Stegostoma tigrinum: one gene and its partner. The protein of the gene in region 1 interacts with the protein of each later gene in a pairwise test. Links are inferred from orthologs where the notes say so. Each region holds a gene or a part of one and is shown on either strand. Other genes may lie near its edges.

Region 1 (6,893 bases):
TCCCCCCCACCAAACCCATGTCCAGGAACTCCCCACCTACATTCATGATACCACCTATGCCCTCCACCTCACCTGAGACTTCCAATTCCCTGGACCCCAAAATGTCATCTTCACTATGGACATCCAATTTCTGACACTTTTAGGCGCCATGCAGATGGCCGAAATGCCCTTCACTTCTTCTTCTCTCACAGACCGAGCCAGTCTCCCACTACCAACACCCTCATCCACTTAACAGAACTTTTCCTTACCCTGAACAACAACTCCTTTAATTCCTCCCACTTCCTAGAAACTAAGGGGGTGGCTATGGGCACCCATATGGGTCCGAGCTACATCTGTCTCTTCGTAGGAAACGTGGAACAGTCCCTTTTCCGCTATTACACAGGCACCATCCCACACTCTTCCTCTGTTACACTGATGACTGTATCAGTGCTAACATGCTCCCACGAGGAGCTAGGACAGTTCATCAACTTTACTAATACCTTTCATCCCAGCCTCAAATTCACCTGGACCATGTCCGATACTTCCCTCCCCTTCCTGGACTTCTCCATCTCCATCTCTGATAACCACCTCAACACCGACATTTATTTCAAACCCACCGACTCCTATGGCTACTGGACTACACCTCCACTCACTCACCTTCCTACAAGAATGCAATCCCATACTCCCAATTCCTCCACCTTCGCCACATCTGCTCCCAAGATGGAGCGTTCCACTCCCATACATCCCAGATGTCCTCCTATTTTAAGGACTGCAATTTGCCCAATCTAATGATCAAAATGCCCTCAACCACATAGCTTGTATTGGCCTCTAACCACCACCCCCCAACAAAAATAAAGACACAGACTCCTGGTCCTCACATATCACCCCACTAACCTTTGTATCCAACACATCAACCTCCACCACAACCCCATCTGCAATTTGACCCCACAACCAAAGAGATATTTCCCTCTCCGTCTTTCATACAGACAACTCATTCTGCAAATCCCTTGTCTGCTCCACGCTCCCCACTAACCCCACCACACCCGGCACCTTTCCCTGCAACTGCAGGAAGTGCTACACCTGCCCCTACACTTCTCCCCTCACTTCCAGGCCCAAAGCAAATTTCCCATATCTGCTAGGGTTTCACCTGTACATCCTACAACCTGGCCTACAATATCCAGTGCTCCCAACGTGGTCTCCTCTACGTCAGTGAGACCAAGCGCAGACTTGACCATTTCGTGGGCCACCTGCGCTCCGTACGTGATAATCGACAACACCTTCCAGTCGCTAAGCATTTCAACTCCCCATCATATGCCTGGGATGACATGTCCATCCTGGGCTTCCTCCAGTGTCATAATGAGGCCACACACAAATTGGAGGAGCAACAACTCATAATACACCTCAGAAGCCTACAGCCCAATGGCCTAAACATTGAATTCACCAGTTTTAAAATCTCCCCATCCCATGTCCAAACCTCCTTCTCATACACGCCTCGATGACCTGACATAACCTGTCAATCTTCTGCCCCACCCTTCCCACTGGCCAATCCCTATTTCCCCACATCTGCAGCCACCACCCCTGCCTCAGGCCCACACATCCTCCCTCTCACCTCCTTGACCTGACACAACCTGTCCTTCTTCTCTCCCACCTATCTGCCCCACCCTTCCCACTGACCAATCTCCACCATCCCCTACATGCATCCACCTATCACCATGCCACCTACCTTCAATCAGCCACACCCCTCCTTGTTCTATTTATTTCCCGGCTCCCTTTCCCCTCCCCAATTCTGAAGAAGGGCCCTTTCCTATTCCTCTGAAGCTGCCTGACCTGCTGTATTTCTTCAGCTTCACACCATGTTGACTCTGGCTCCAGCATCTGCAGTTCTTGCTATCTCCAACTGACACCTGCCCATGCTTCCTGATCAGCACAAAGGTCTGGCTAATTCATTTACTGATTTTTAATCTAGACCCTACCTGTAATTGTGATATTCAACAAGAAAGTTACTGAAAGAGTATGCATTCTGAGCATCATAATAGTGAGTGACAACTCAGTTTAGCGGTAAGTTTTTCTTGCAAGTTGGAACAATAGGGACTCAGACCCTGATTCTGCACATAATCTAGGTTGTCACATTATCATAACTGAGGGAGTGCTGAATTATTGGGAGATGCCATTGGCCAGATGAAATGTTAACTTGAGGCTGATCTACTTGCTCAATTGGGCATTCAGCATAGGAGACCTTTCAAACCAACCAATCCATGCTGACCATAAATCCTCATCTAAACTAGTCCCGCTTGCCTACACTAGGCCTGTATCCCTACGTACGTTTCTTTCATTTATTTAAATGTTGTAACTGTACTCGCATCCACCACTTTCTCTGGAAGTTTATTCTATATATAAGACACTCTGCAAAAATATTGCCTCTTGTTTTCTTTTTAAATCTTTCTCTTCTAACCTTAAAGTGCCTTCTAGTCTTGAAATCCCGCACCCTAGAGAAAAGGCAACCGCCGTTCACCTTTATCCACAAGATTTTATATACCTCTATAAGGTCATCCCTCATGAAATAGCACACAACCCGATTTAGCAAAGGTTAGAAGAATTTGCTCAAGTCTCGGAACCAAAACTTAATCATTCATTAAAGATAGATGATCCAGTCACTCATCTCAAATGTTGTTCCCTGGTTGTAATTTCCAATAATCTGGCTGTACTAGTACAGAAGGCAAATTTTACAAAGCGCTTTAACGTGGCCTCATGGTACATCCAGCTAGTTTCGAAACGAAGGGAAACCGTAGGACCAATGCCAAAGCTGTGCCTCAATGGATCTGCCGTGGAAAAACTGAGCTCGTAGGAACAAGCCCACACATTCGTACAGATTACTGCTGATCGAGGCTCACTTACCCCGCGACAGGATCTTGGCGATGGATTGAGCCAGAGAAGGTTTCTCGGCGACCATCAACACCGTCTTCATGATGCCGACCTCGCTCAATACAACCACCTCCTTCAGGCCGTCGCCATGACACCCACGCACGACCCCTTCCTGTGCTCTCGACTAGACTTCCGGTTCCGGCCGATTCCCATGGTAACCGCGAGGCCCTTTGCTCAGTGCAGATCAGCGCTGGAAGCTGTGATCATACCGCATGAGACAGGGCACCTTCCAAACAACAAAAATGTAATTTCTCCTCTACAAACTTAATTTGATAATAGGTAAAAATTGACGTCCCAACACACCTTATTTCAGAAACAGAGCACTACGGATGCTGTTCTGTGGAAGGGTCACTTTTTTATTTTAAAGCCGTGTACTGCAATTTTTGTTTTAAATTTAGAGCCATGTTGTACAAATAATGGATCTGAACTAGAGCATCTTGCCCAAGCATCTGCTTTGGTTGTTCTGACATCGCAGCAGCCCTATTCTGCCCACATATGAATTTGGTTAACAATGTGAACATGAGCAGATAATCTGTTATTTGTGGTCTTGATAGAGGAAGGGTTACATATTGGCTCTAGCTCATCAGTGCAAATTTCCTTCTTCTATGAGCCAGACCGAATCTCCTTAATATATATCGAGGAGACAGCTTAGATTCTACCTTTTTCTCTTTATAGAGGTAAGTATAAGGAGCTGCATTGCATATCTGATTCAATTGGTCAAACTACTATGCTTTAAGCAAAACACACTTGATTCTGGCACCACAGTTTAGAAACAGAAACAAAAACAAAAAAAATGGCATAACCATAACTCTATCTAGATACATAGCAAAATTATATATTATTTAACAGCTACTCCTACTGTTCCAATGTAACAGCATCCCATAAACACACCCTTGGCACAGGTCAATTCAGCAAAACAGATTTCCATCACTTATGATCTTATCCAGTCCAGGAGAAGGAACACTGACTGAACATCTTTAACTACAGAGTGAGAACTGTATCTAGCATCTTAGTCCAAACCCCAGCTTCAACAACTGAAAGTATAAACTAAAGCCCTGTATCTGTGTAAGCCTTGTTCAAACCCTCCTGCTTTTTTTGTTTAGTTTTTTGTTTAAAAAATCCAAAGCTATTTAATCTTCTTTCCATGGAGCAGACCCCATGGTACCGTGTTTACAACATCTCTCTTCCTGAGGAACAGGACAGAACAAATCTGTCTTAGGCATATCTTGTCACATTTCTTTTTCAAAATAGTGTGTGGGATCTTTCATATCCAATTGAACAAGCATATCGGAAACCAAATTAACTTCTCATCCAGGAGCTAGCACCTTCAACAGTGCAGCACTTCCTCCATATTGCACCACAGCACCATCTTTGTGCTCAAGGCTTAAACCTTGGAGTGGGACTGAAATTTAGAGGCCAAGAGAGTTTAACTGAGCCACTGCTGAAGTTTAATGCCTTGGCTGAAAAATGGCCTAATGTTCTTCATTGCAATAGGGAAGTATCAACCTGTTATATGTTTGAATCTCGAGCGTGTGACTTGTAACACAGAATTCCATAACTCAAAGGCAAGTGTGCTACATGCTAAGCCAGAGCAAATGTACAAGTTGTCATTGGCTTCTGTCTTATATTGCTGCGACCATATCAACTTACTGAATACTGAGGTGGGGAAGAAAACAGTACTCCTCATAATACCAGAATTTTTCAACAATCGGCACACATGAGACTGACACCATGTCGCCATTTTTCAAAATTTTTCTGTCTGAGATTAAGGCTACAGTTCTTTGCTGCTTGATCTGATAACACTTTCAAATGTTCATATACCATATCATTTAAGGTCAGCTTCAGTATTTTTAATCATCATTTGAACTGTAATCAGGATGGATCCTCAGTTATGCCACCTCAGTGAAAACCAAGATGTCAAGTGTCTCTGTTAGTAATAGTGAGATGCCATCTTTTGGATAAGACCTCAAACTGAGACCCCTTGAATGAAAGCACACAGTTGTATGACCAACACTTCAAAGAAGAGCAGTAAGTCCTTCCCAGTGTCTTGACACTACACTTCAAGAAGGATGTGAAGTAGCTAGAGAATTTAGGAACAAGAGTAGGCTATTCAAGCGTACTTCCATCCCCTATTCCCAATTCCTCCGCCTCCGCCGCATCTGCTCCCACGATAAGACATTCCACTCCTGCACATCCCAGATGTCCAAGTTCTTTAAGGACCGCAACTTTCCCCCCACAGTGATCGAGAACGCCCTTGACCGCGTCTCCCGTATTTCCCACAACACATCCCTCACACCCCGCCCCCGCCACAACCGCCCTAAGAGGATCCTCCTCGTTCTCACACACCACCCTACCAACCTCCGGATACAACGCATCATCCTCCGACACTTCCACCATTTACAATCCGACCCCACCACCCAAGACATTTTTCCATCCCCTCCCCTGTCTGCTTTCCGGAGAGACCACACTCTCCGTGACTCCCTTGTTCGCTCCACACTGCCCTCCAACCCCACCACAGCCGGCACCTTCCCCTGCAACCGCAGGAAATGCTACACTTGTCCCCACACCTCCTCCCTCACCCCTATCCCAGGCCCCAAGATGACATTCCACATTGGCAGATGTGCAGGTGAACCTCTGCTTAATGTGGTATACTGCATCCACTGTACCCGGTGCGGCTTCCTCTACATTGGGGAAACCAAACGGAGGCTTGGGGACTGCTTTGCAGAACACCTCCGCTCAGTTCGCAACAAACAACTGCATCTCCCAGTCGCAAACCATTTCCACTCCCCCTCCCATTCTCTAGATGACATGTCCATCATGGGCCTCCTGCACTGCCACAATGATGCCACCCGAAGGTTGCAGGAACAGCAACTCATATTCCGCCTGGGAACCCTGCAGCCATATGGTATCAATGTGGACTTCACCAGTTTCAAAATCTCCCCTTCCCCTACTGCATCCCTAAACCAGCCCAGTTCGTCCCCTCCCCCCACTGCACCACACAACCAGCCCAGCTCTTCCCCCCCCCCCCCCCCCAAACCCACTGCATCCCAAAACCAGTCCAACCTGTCTCTGCCTCCCTAACCAGTTCTTCCTCTCACCCATCCCTTCCTCCCACCCCAAGCCGCATCCCCAGCTACCTACTAACCTCATCCCACCTCCTTGACCTGTCCGTCTTCCGTGGACTGACCTATCCCCTCCGTACCTCCCCACCTATACTCTCTCCACCTATCTTCTTTACTCTCCATCTTCGGTCCGCCTCCCCCTCTCTCCCTATTTATTCCAGTTCCCTCTCCCCATCCCCCTTTCTGATGAAGGGTCTAGGCCCGAAACGTCAGCTTTTGTGCTCCTGAGATGCTGCTTGGCCTGCTGTGTTCATCCAGCCTCACATTTTATTATCTTGGAATTCTCCAGCATCTGCAGTTCCCATTACCTCAGTATGATGGTTGATCTGTTTGTGGTCTCAACTTCACTTTCCTGTTTGCAAGAAAAGAATTACAAGAATGGTTGTAAAAGCCAGTTGTGTATTCACCGTTTCTCCACATGAGCATCATGATTTGGTGCCATTTCCTGCCTTCTCCACATACTCAAGCACATTGTTTCTGTTTAAATAATCATCCAGTGCTGCCTTAAAAGCCTCAATTGAACCTGCCTCCAGCGCATTCCACACCTAAACCATGCATTAGCAATTTTATTTCACCTTGTCTTTTGTTTCCTTCGGAAATCACTTTAAATCTGAGCCCTCTTATTCTTGATCCTTGAATAAGTAGGAACAGCTTATTTACACAATCCAGTCCACTTGTGATTTTTGAAAACTTCTGTCAGATGTGTTTTTAGCTTTCTTTCTCTAAGCAGAAAAGTTCCATTCTCTCCAATCTATCATAACTGAAATTTTCCATCTCTGGAATCATTCCTGTAAATCTCTTCTGCAGTCTCCCCAATTTGTTCATATCCTTACCATAGTCTGGTACCCAGAACTGTATGCAAAACTGAGG
Region 2 (7,546 bases), on another chromosome or scaffold:
TGGGGGGGGATTGAGAGGGGTGGGTGGGTGGGTGGGGGGGGGATTGAGAGGGGTGGGTGGGTGGGTGGGGGGGGATTGAGAGGGGTGGGTGGGTGGGGATTGAGAGGGGTGGGTGGGGATTGAGAGGGGTGGGTGGGTGGGTGGGTGGGGGGGGATTGAGAGGGGTGGGTGGGTGGGTGGGGGGGGATTGAGAGGGGTGGGTGGGTGGGGGGGGATTGAGAGGGGTGGGTGGGTGGGTGGGGGGGGATTGAGAGGGGTGGGTGGGTGGGTGGGTGGGGATTGAGAGGGGTGGGTGGGTGGGGGGGGATTGAGAGGGGTGGGTGGGTGGGGATTGAGAGGGGTGGGTGGGTGGGGATTGAGAGGGGTGGGTGGGGGAATTGAGAGGGGTGGGTGGGTGGGTGGGGGAATTGAGAGGGGTGGGTGGGTGGGTGGGGGAATTGAGAGGGGTGGGTGGGTGGGTGGGGGAATTGAGAGGGGTGGGTGGGTGGGGGGGGGATTGAGAGGGGTGGGTGGGTGGGGGGGGGGGATTGAGAGGGGTGGGTGGGTGGGGGGGGGGGATTGAGAGGGGTGGGTGGGGGGGGGGATTGAGAGGGGTGGGTGGGTGGGGGGGGGGATTGAGAGGGGTGGGTGGGTGGGGGGGGATTGAGAGGGAGGGTGGGTGGGTGGTTGGGGGGGGATTGAGAGGGAGGGTGGGGGGGGATTGAGAGGGAGGGTGGGGGGGATTGAGAGGGAGGGTGGGGGGATTGAGAGGGAGGGTGGGGGGGGGGGATTGAGAGGGTGGGTGGGGGGGGGGATTGAGAGGGTGGGTGGGGGGGGGATTGAGAGGGTGGGTGGGGGGGGGATTGAGGGGGAGGGTGGGTGGGTAGGTGGGGGGGGATTGTGAGGGAGGGTGTGGGGGGATTGTGAGGGAGGGTGGGTGGGTAGGTGGGGGGGATTGTGAGGAGGGAGGGTGAGGGAGGGAGGGTGAGGGAGGGAGGGTGAGGGAGGGAGGGAGGTGAGGGAGGGAGGGTGAGGGAGGGAGGGAGGGTGAGGAGGGAGGTGAGGGAGGGAGGGAGGGAGGGTGGGGAGGGTGTGGGGGTGAGGGAGGGAGGGTGAGGGGGTGAGGGAGGGAGGGTGAGGGGAGGGAGGGTGAGAGGGAGGGTGAGGGAGGTGAGGGGAGGGTGGGTGGGAGGGTGAGGGAGGGGAGGGTGGGAGGGAGGGTGAGGGAGGGAGGGTGGGAGGGAGGGTGTGGGAGGGAGGGTGGAGGGAGGGTGAGGGAGGGAGGGTGAGGGAGGGAGGGTGAGGGAGGGAGGGTGAGGGAGGGAGGGTGGGAGGGGATCGGGAGGGTTAGTTGGGGGGGATTGAGAGGTTTAGTTGGGAGTGGTCGTGTGGGGGATCGTGTGGGGGGGATCGAGGGGGGGGGGATCGAGGGGGGGGGGGGATCGAGGGGGGGGATCTGGGGGGGGGGAGATCGGGGGGGGGAGATCGGGGGGGGGGAGATCGGGGGGGGGGAGATCGGGGGGGGAGATCGGGGGGGGAGATCGGGGGGGGGGAGATCGGGGGGGGGGAGATCGGGGGGGGGAGATCGGGGGGGGGGGGATCGGGGGGGGGGATCGGGGGGGGGGGGATCGGGGGGGGGGGGATCGGGGGGGGGGGGTCGAGTGGGGGGGGTCGAGTGGGGGGGGGGTCGAGTGGGGGGGGGGTCGAGTGGGGGGGGGGGTCGAGTGGGGGGGGGGGTCGAGTGGGGGGGGGGTCGAGTGGGGGGATCGAGTGGGGGGGATCGAGTGGGGGGGATCGAGTGGGAGGGGGATCGAGGGGGATCGAGTGGGGGGATCGAGTGGGGGGATCGAGTGGGGGGGATCGAGTGGGGGGATCGAGTGGGGGGGGATCGAGTGGGGGGGGATCGAGTGGGGGGGGATCGAGTGGGGGGGGATCGAGTGGGGGGTGTTTGTTGGGGTGGGGGGCATCGTGAGGGTTGGTGGGGTGGGGGGCATCGTGAGGTTGGTGGGGTGGGGGGCATCATGAGGGTTGGTGGGGTGGGGGGGCATCGTGAGGTTGGTGGGGTGGGGGGGATCTTGAGGGTTGGTGGGGTGGGGGGTTCTTGAGGGTGGGTGGGTTGGGGGGGTGTGAGGGGGTTGGTTGGGGGGGTGTGAGGGGGTTAGTTGGGGGGGTCGAGGGGGTTAGTTGGGGGGGGTCGGGGGGTTAGTTGGGGGGGGTCGGGGGGTTAGTTGGGGGGGTCGGGGGGTTAGTTGGGGGGGGTCGAGGGGGTTAGTGGGGGGGGTTGTGAGGGTTAGTGGGGGGGGTGTTGTGAGGGTTAGTGGGGGGGGGTTGTGAGGGTTAGTGGGGGGGGTTGTGAGGGTTAGTGGGGGGGGGTTGTGAGGGTTAGTGGGGGGGGGGTTGTGAGGGTTAGTGGGGGGGGGGGGGTTGTGAGGGTTAGTGGGGGGGGGCGTTGTTGCTGAGGCACTCACTGTTCCGGCGGCGGTTCCTCGGTCATTGTGGTTCCCCCGGAGCGGACATTGCTGCAAACTTCCTGGGGCTCTGGCGCCTGTTCGGGTTGTACTGGGAGCTGGAACCTGGGAACCCGGGGGGACACGGTGGGAATCGGGCCCTCCTCGCCTCGGGGCTGCCTAAGGGACACAGTCACATTCTCGGAGCTGGAGGCCGGCTCTTGCTGCACTCTCTGACCGGGCCTGAGCCGCTCCGAGCGGCCGCTCTCTGCACATGAAGCTGCCGCTGGGGCCGCAATCCCCGGGTCTCTCTCTCCCTCCCCCTCTCTCACACACACTCTCTCCCTCCGGCCGCGAAACTGTGCAGCAACAGGGACGGCGGCAGAGCAGAGTGAAGCCCCAGGCCAGAATCCAGAGGCTTGGGGAGGGACAAGTCGGGGGAGAAAGAGCAGCTTGAAATGCTCCCTATGTTTTCACAAACTCAGTTCACTCCATTTTGGATTCAGCGAAAAGGAAACAGGGCGGAAGCAATGACATCAGCCTGAGTCCAAGCAGCGAAAGCTCCCTCTCCCTCTCTCTGCGTGCGCTGCAACCAAAGAGTGCCCTAGCCCCATCCACTTCCCATCCCCATTCACAAAAACACACAGTCTCACACACACACAACAGCCCTAAGCCCGCAACATTGTTACATTGCCATTCAACTGTGCTGGCTACACTTTGCAAACTTGTTTCCTTTTGCGGTTACAACTTGCAAATCCGATTTTCACTCCGCTCCTGCTGTTGATTCTCGTAACTACGTATATATCTGTGCGTGTGTGTTTGTGTATTTAAAATTTGAAGGACTTCCAGAAAGGATTGGAACTGGCGCATTGATACTGAACTAAATCGGATGTGATTGCTATCAGGTAGGAGTAGTTTCACCAACAGGCAAATCCATCTGCAACGGATAGAAGCTGTGCACATTCCGAAGGCTATGTCTTTGTGTGTGTGTGTGTGTGTGTGTGTGTGTGGAGGGGTTCATTGGCAGTTTGCCCTCCAGATTGCATTGCCCCTTAAAGTCACGACATGCAAAGTCTTCTTGGCAAAAGAAGAAACAGCATATGGTTCTGCGGAGATGGTGGTACATTTTTTTGCATGTATTTGGGAAATCACATGATTCCTGTCGGAGATTTTACAGTAAAAGTTCGAGACGAGTCCATAAATTACGCCCCCTCCCCCAATTTCATATCTCTATTTTGTTATCCTTGTCCATTAAAAAATACCATTTTGCTCTCGTTTCGTCACCCCCACCCCGAACCTTTTCCTAGCTGGGGTTTAAAAAGTAACACACCGATTTCTAAGTTGCTCAATCAATCACACGTCGAAGGCAGAGAATGAAGTCTGGCGCCTCCTCCTGGGAGATATTTGACTAACGGGATCGTCTGGAAAAATAAACAACTGCTGTGGAGCAATCAGAAACAAGAGGAGGGGGTGGGCTCTGGTCTTTGGGGAAGGGCATTGAGAATTGGCAACAACAGAGCTTTTGAGTACAAGGGATTCAAAAAAGGTAACACCATTAATTACAACTCAGAGATAGATAACTTTTTGTTCCACAAAAATATTAAGAGATACGGGCCAATGTGAGGTAAATGGCTTTAAGCCACAGATCGGCCATGATCTCATTGAATGGTGCAACAGGCTTAAGGGGCCGAATGGCTCACTCCTGTTTCTGTGTTCCAATGTGGGAAGAGCTTCCTCTGCAGTAGTATGAGGGGTGGAATCACTGACTAAAAGGTGGAGATTTATGGGCTGTTGCAGTTTGCTGGTTATTTGTAACCAGGTTTTATACAGATGTTTAACTCCACCAAAGCGTGAATTGCAGACAGTATGTGCTAAGTTCTGTTTTTTGTTGCTCCAATTGTGCATTTTGAAACTCCGATTCTTTTTGTGAGGTGCCTGTGGAATTCCTTGTGGGAAACTGTGCTTATTTCATGCGCCCATTGCTGAATTTGGTGGGGGGTGGGTGGTTACAGGGTCATTCAGGCCAGAGGAGAATATTACTTGTTGGGAGTAAGTATGATGGCTGTTGTCAAACAAACTTGAATTGTTAGCAGGAAATGTTACTAAGCAGGTTGGGCAGCATCTGCAGAGAACTGAACAGGTTTAGTGACCTGTTTCCTGACCCTTCAATATGATCTGGGAGATGTTGGAGAGCCTTTTCATAAGTGTAGTGCGGCTCTGTTACAGTGCAGAAGGAGGTTATTTGACCCATTGTGGCTATACTAGCCCTTCAAGTGAGCAATTCTCTTAGTATCATTCTCCTCATTATCCTGCATGTTCCTGCTTTTCAAGTAACCATCTAACTCCTCCTTGAACAACTTAATAGGCACTGCTTTCACCACATCATCAGGTGGTGCATTCCATAACCTAGCTGCATACTGAATGAAAAAGCTCTTTCTCAGCTCAGTTTTTATTTCTTTTGCAATTGTCTGTTTGTGCCCTCTTGTCTTAATTCTTTCATGAGTGGGAGCATTCCTCCCTCTCTACGTTGTCCAGATCCCTTGTGACTTTGATCATTTCTGTCAGATAGTGCCTGAAAGTGACCTGAAATGTTAACATGCATTCTTGTAGCAGCCAGAACTGCTGAGCTTTTCCAGCAACTTCTGTTTTTGTCACACCCATCGTTGGTAAACAAAAGTTGCTGGAAAAACTCAGCAGGCCTAGCAGCATCTGGGGAGAAAAAAAAATCAGAGTTAACATTTCGACTCTGGTGACCCTTTTTCACAGATGCTGCCAGACCTGCTGAGCTTATTTTTGTGGCAACTTCCGTCTTTGTTCCGGATTTACAGCATCAGTAGTTCTTTCAGATTTTATAGAAGTGGTGTGGATGGATCCTGTCAATTACAGCGGAATGGGAGCAAGACAAGCAAGCCTGGCGAAGTAAACATTGCATGGTGGAACAAGCTGAAAGGGCCAGATGGCAAACTTCACCTAGCGTTTGTGTTTATAAATGGGACATTCCAAATTGGGAAATACCTCAAGTTTGCAGTCAACAAATGAACCGGATTATGGAAAACAAATGTTTTGCATCTGCAACAATAGGAAGTCTGGACCAATGAGCAAGGAAACACATTAGACAGATACATGTGTTTGCATTAAATGTTACAACAGCCATGTGCACACAATCAACTGTAACAGACTGTCAGGGCTCCAAACTTGGGAATATTATACTAAACAGCAGGTCAGGACATCTGAACAGCTTTGCCTGTAGTAACTACCCTGATTCAGATAAGCGCAGTTAAATGAATGTTTGAACCCCACTGTAGAAGATTTCAAAAGGTTGACACTGGCCTCCAAAGCTGCGAGAAATGGCTTATGGATGAGCTGTAGCGTCTGTTACAGGATGTTGAGTAGCAGCTGGAGTCAATCTTCAGTTCCTGGTGTCTGGAGCACTCATCATTGCTGCACTGTTCTCTTTGTGAGGCAGCCTGTCGACATCTTGCTGCTGCTTCAGGGTGAGAGTCACCCAACAACCTGCAAACACTGTTCTGCTGCTTTCCACCGCACTGGATCTGGGAACATGAATGAAATGGCGTTTCCTTTATAACTGGCAAGCAGGACTGCCATACTCTGAAGGATTTACACTTTGTGCACACTTTTCTCAGTAAAACTGATAAGTAAAAATGAGTTTTCTTCATTAGCATTTCCAGATTTTAGCCAACAACATCACCAGATTGGTTCAGAGACAGTAGGAACTGCCAACGCTGCAGAATCTGAGATAACAAGGTGTGGAGCTGGATGAACACAGCAGGCCAAGCAGCACCAGAGGAGCAGGAAGGCTGACGTTTCAGGTCTAGAACCTTCTTTTTTTTTCAGAAGGAAGGTGTAGACCGGAACTGTCAGCTTTCCCGCTCCTCTGATGCTGCTTGACCTGCTGTGTTCATCCAGCTCCACACCAAATTGATTTGATGTGGTTTAAGCATGATTATTAAGCCTGAAAATTGTAACTAGAGAGAGCTGGCTACACCTCGTCTCATTAATGCTAATTATATCCAATGGAAATATTTATTCATCGGTTTATTTGACATCACATCTGCCCATGCCCATCCATTCAGGACGTGTGTGTTTGTAGTGATTGGCCCACTACTGTCATACCAATGTATAAGTGGCATAATCTGTTTAATATCATTGGACCCATTCATAAGGAGCTGTGTGAAATTAAACATTATCCCCTGAAGAATCTCTGGGCAGCTATCAACTTCAATTGTGACTTTAATCACGACACCTTTGGTGACTGTATCTTGATCTGTCGCGGTCCTAACTCTGAAATTCTGTCCCTGAGTACCTCCACATTGCTACCCTCTATAAGACAAACCTCAAGGATATTCTTTGTGCCCTATACCCAACCATCTTCAGCTGCTTCATCAATGACCTCCCCTCCATCCTAAGGTCAGAAGTGGGGATATTTGCTGATGATTGCATCGTGTTTAGCGCCATTCACAACAACTCAGATACCGAAGCAGTCCCTATTCAAATGCAACAGATCCAGACAATATCCAGGCTTGGGATGAGAAGTGGCAAGTAACATTCGTGCCACACAAAAGTCAGGCAATAACCATCTCCAATAAGAGACAATCTAACCACTGTCCCATTATGTTCAATGGCATTACCATCACTCACTGCCCACACAATCAACATCCTAGAGGTTACCATCCACCAGAATTGGACTCACCATATAAATACAGTGGCTACAAGAACAGGTTAGAGGTTAGGAATGCCGTGGCAAGTAACCTACCATCTGACTCCTCAAAGCCTGTCCACCATTGACAAGGCACAAGTCAGGAGTGTGATGGAACACTCCCCACTTGCCTGGATGGGTGCAGCTCCAACAACACTCAAGAAGCTCAAACCATCCAGGGCAAAGCAACTTCTTGATTGGCACCACATCCACAAGCATCCACTCCCTCCACCACCGACACTCAGTAGCAGCCATGTGTACTGTCTACAAGATGCACTGCAGAAAATTACACTGCATCAAGGATCCGTAGACAGCGCCTTCCAAACCCACGTAGAAGGACAAGGGCAGCAGATTCATAGGAACACCACCCCCTCCAAGTTCCCCTCCAAGCCACTCACCATCC

The links.
Region 2: the proteins of top3b (region 1) and sprouty-related, EVH1 domain-containing protein 2 interact in binary tests that used the Homo sapiens proteins (3 or more experiments, as listed by UniProt). The link is inferred for Stegostoma tigrinum from reciprocal best matches to the Homo sapiens genes TOP3B and SPRED2.

Annotation. Positions count from the first base shown.
Region 1 is NC_081379.1:44,586,741-44,593,633, forward strand, and holds the start of top3b (DNA topoisomerase 3-beta-1), read right to left. Parts: upstream 3,013-6,893; 5' UTR 2,945-3,012; coding exon 2,875-2,944; intron 1-2,874. UniProt on the Homo sapiens protein: Releases the supercoiling and torsional tension of DNA introduced during the DNA replication and transcription by transiently cleaving and rejoining one strand of the DNA duplex.
Region 2 is NC_081362.1:2,574,437-2,581,982, forward strand, and holds the start of sprouty-related, EVH1 domain-containing protein 2, read right to left. Parts: upstream 3,017-7,546; 5' UTR 2,474-3,016; coding exon 2,448-2,473; intron 1-2,447. UniProt on the Homo sapiens protein: Negatively regulates Ras signaling pathways and downstream activation of MAP kinases. Recruits and translocates NF1 to the cell membrane, thereby enabling NF1-dependent hydrolysis of active GTP-bound Ras to inactive GDP-bound Ras.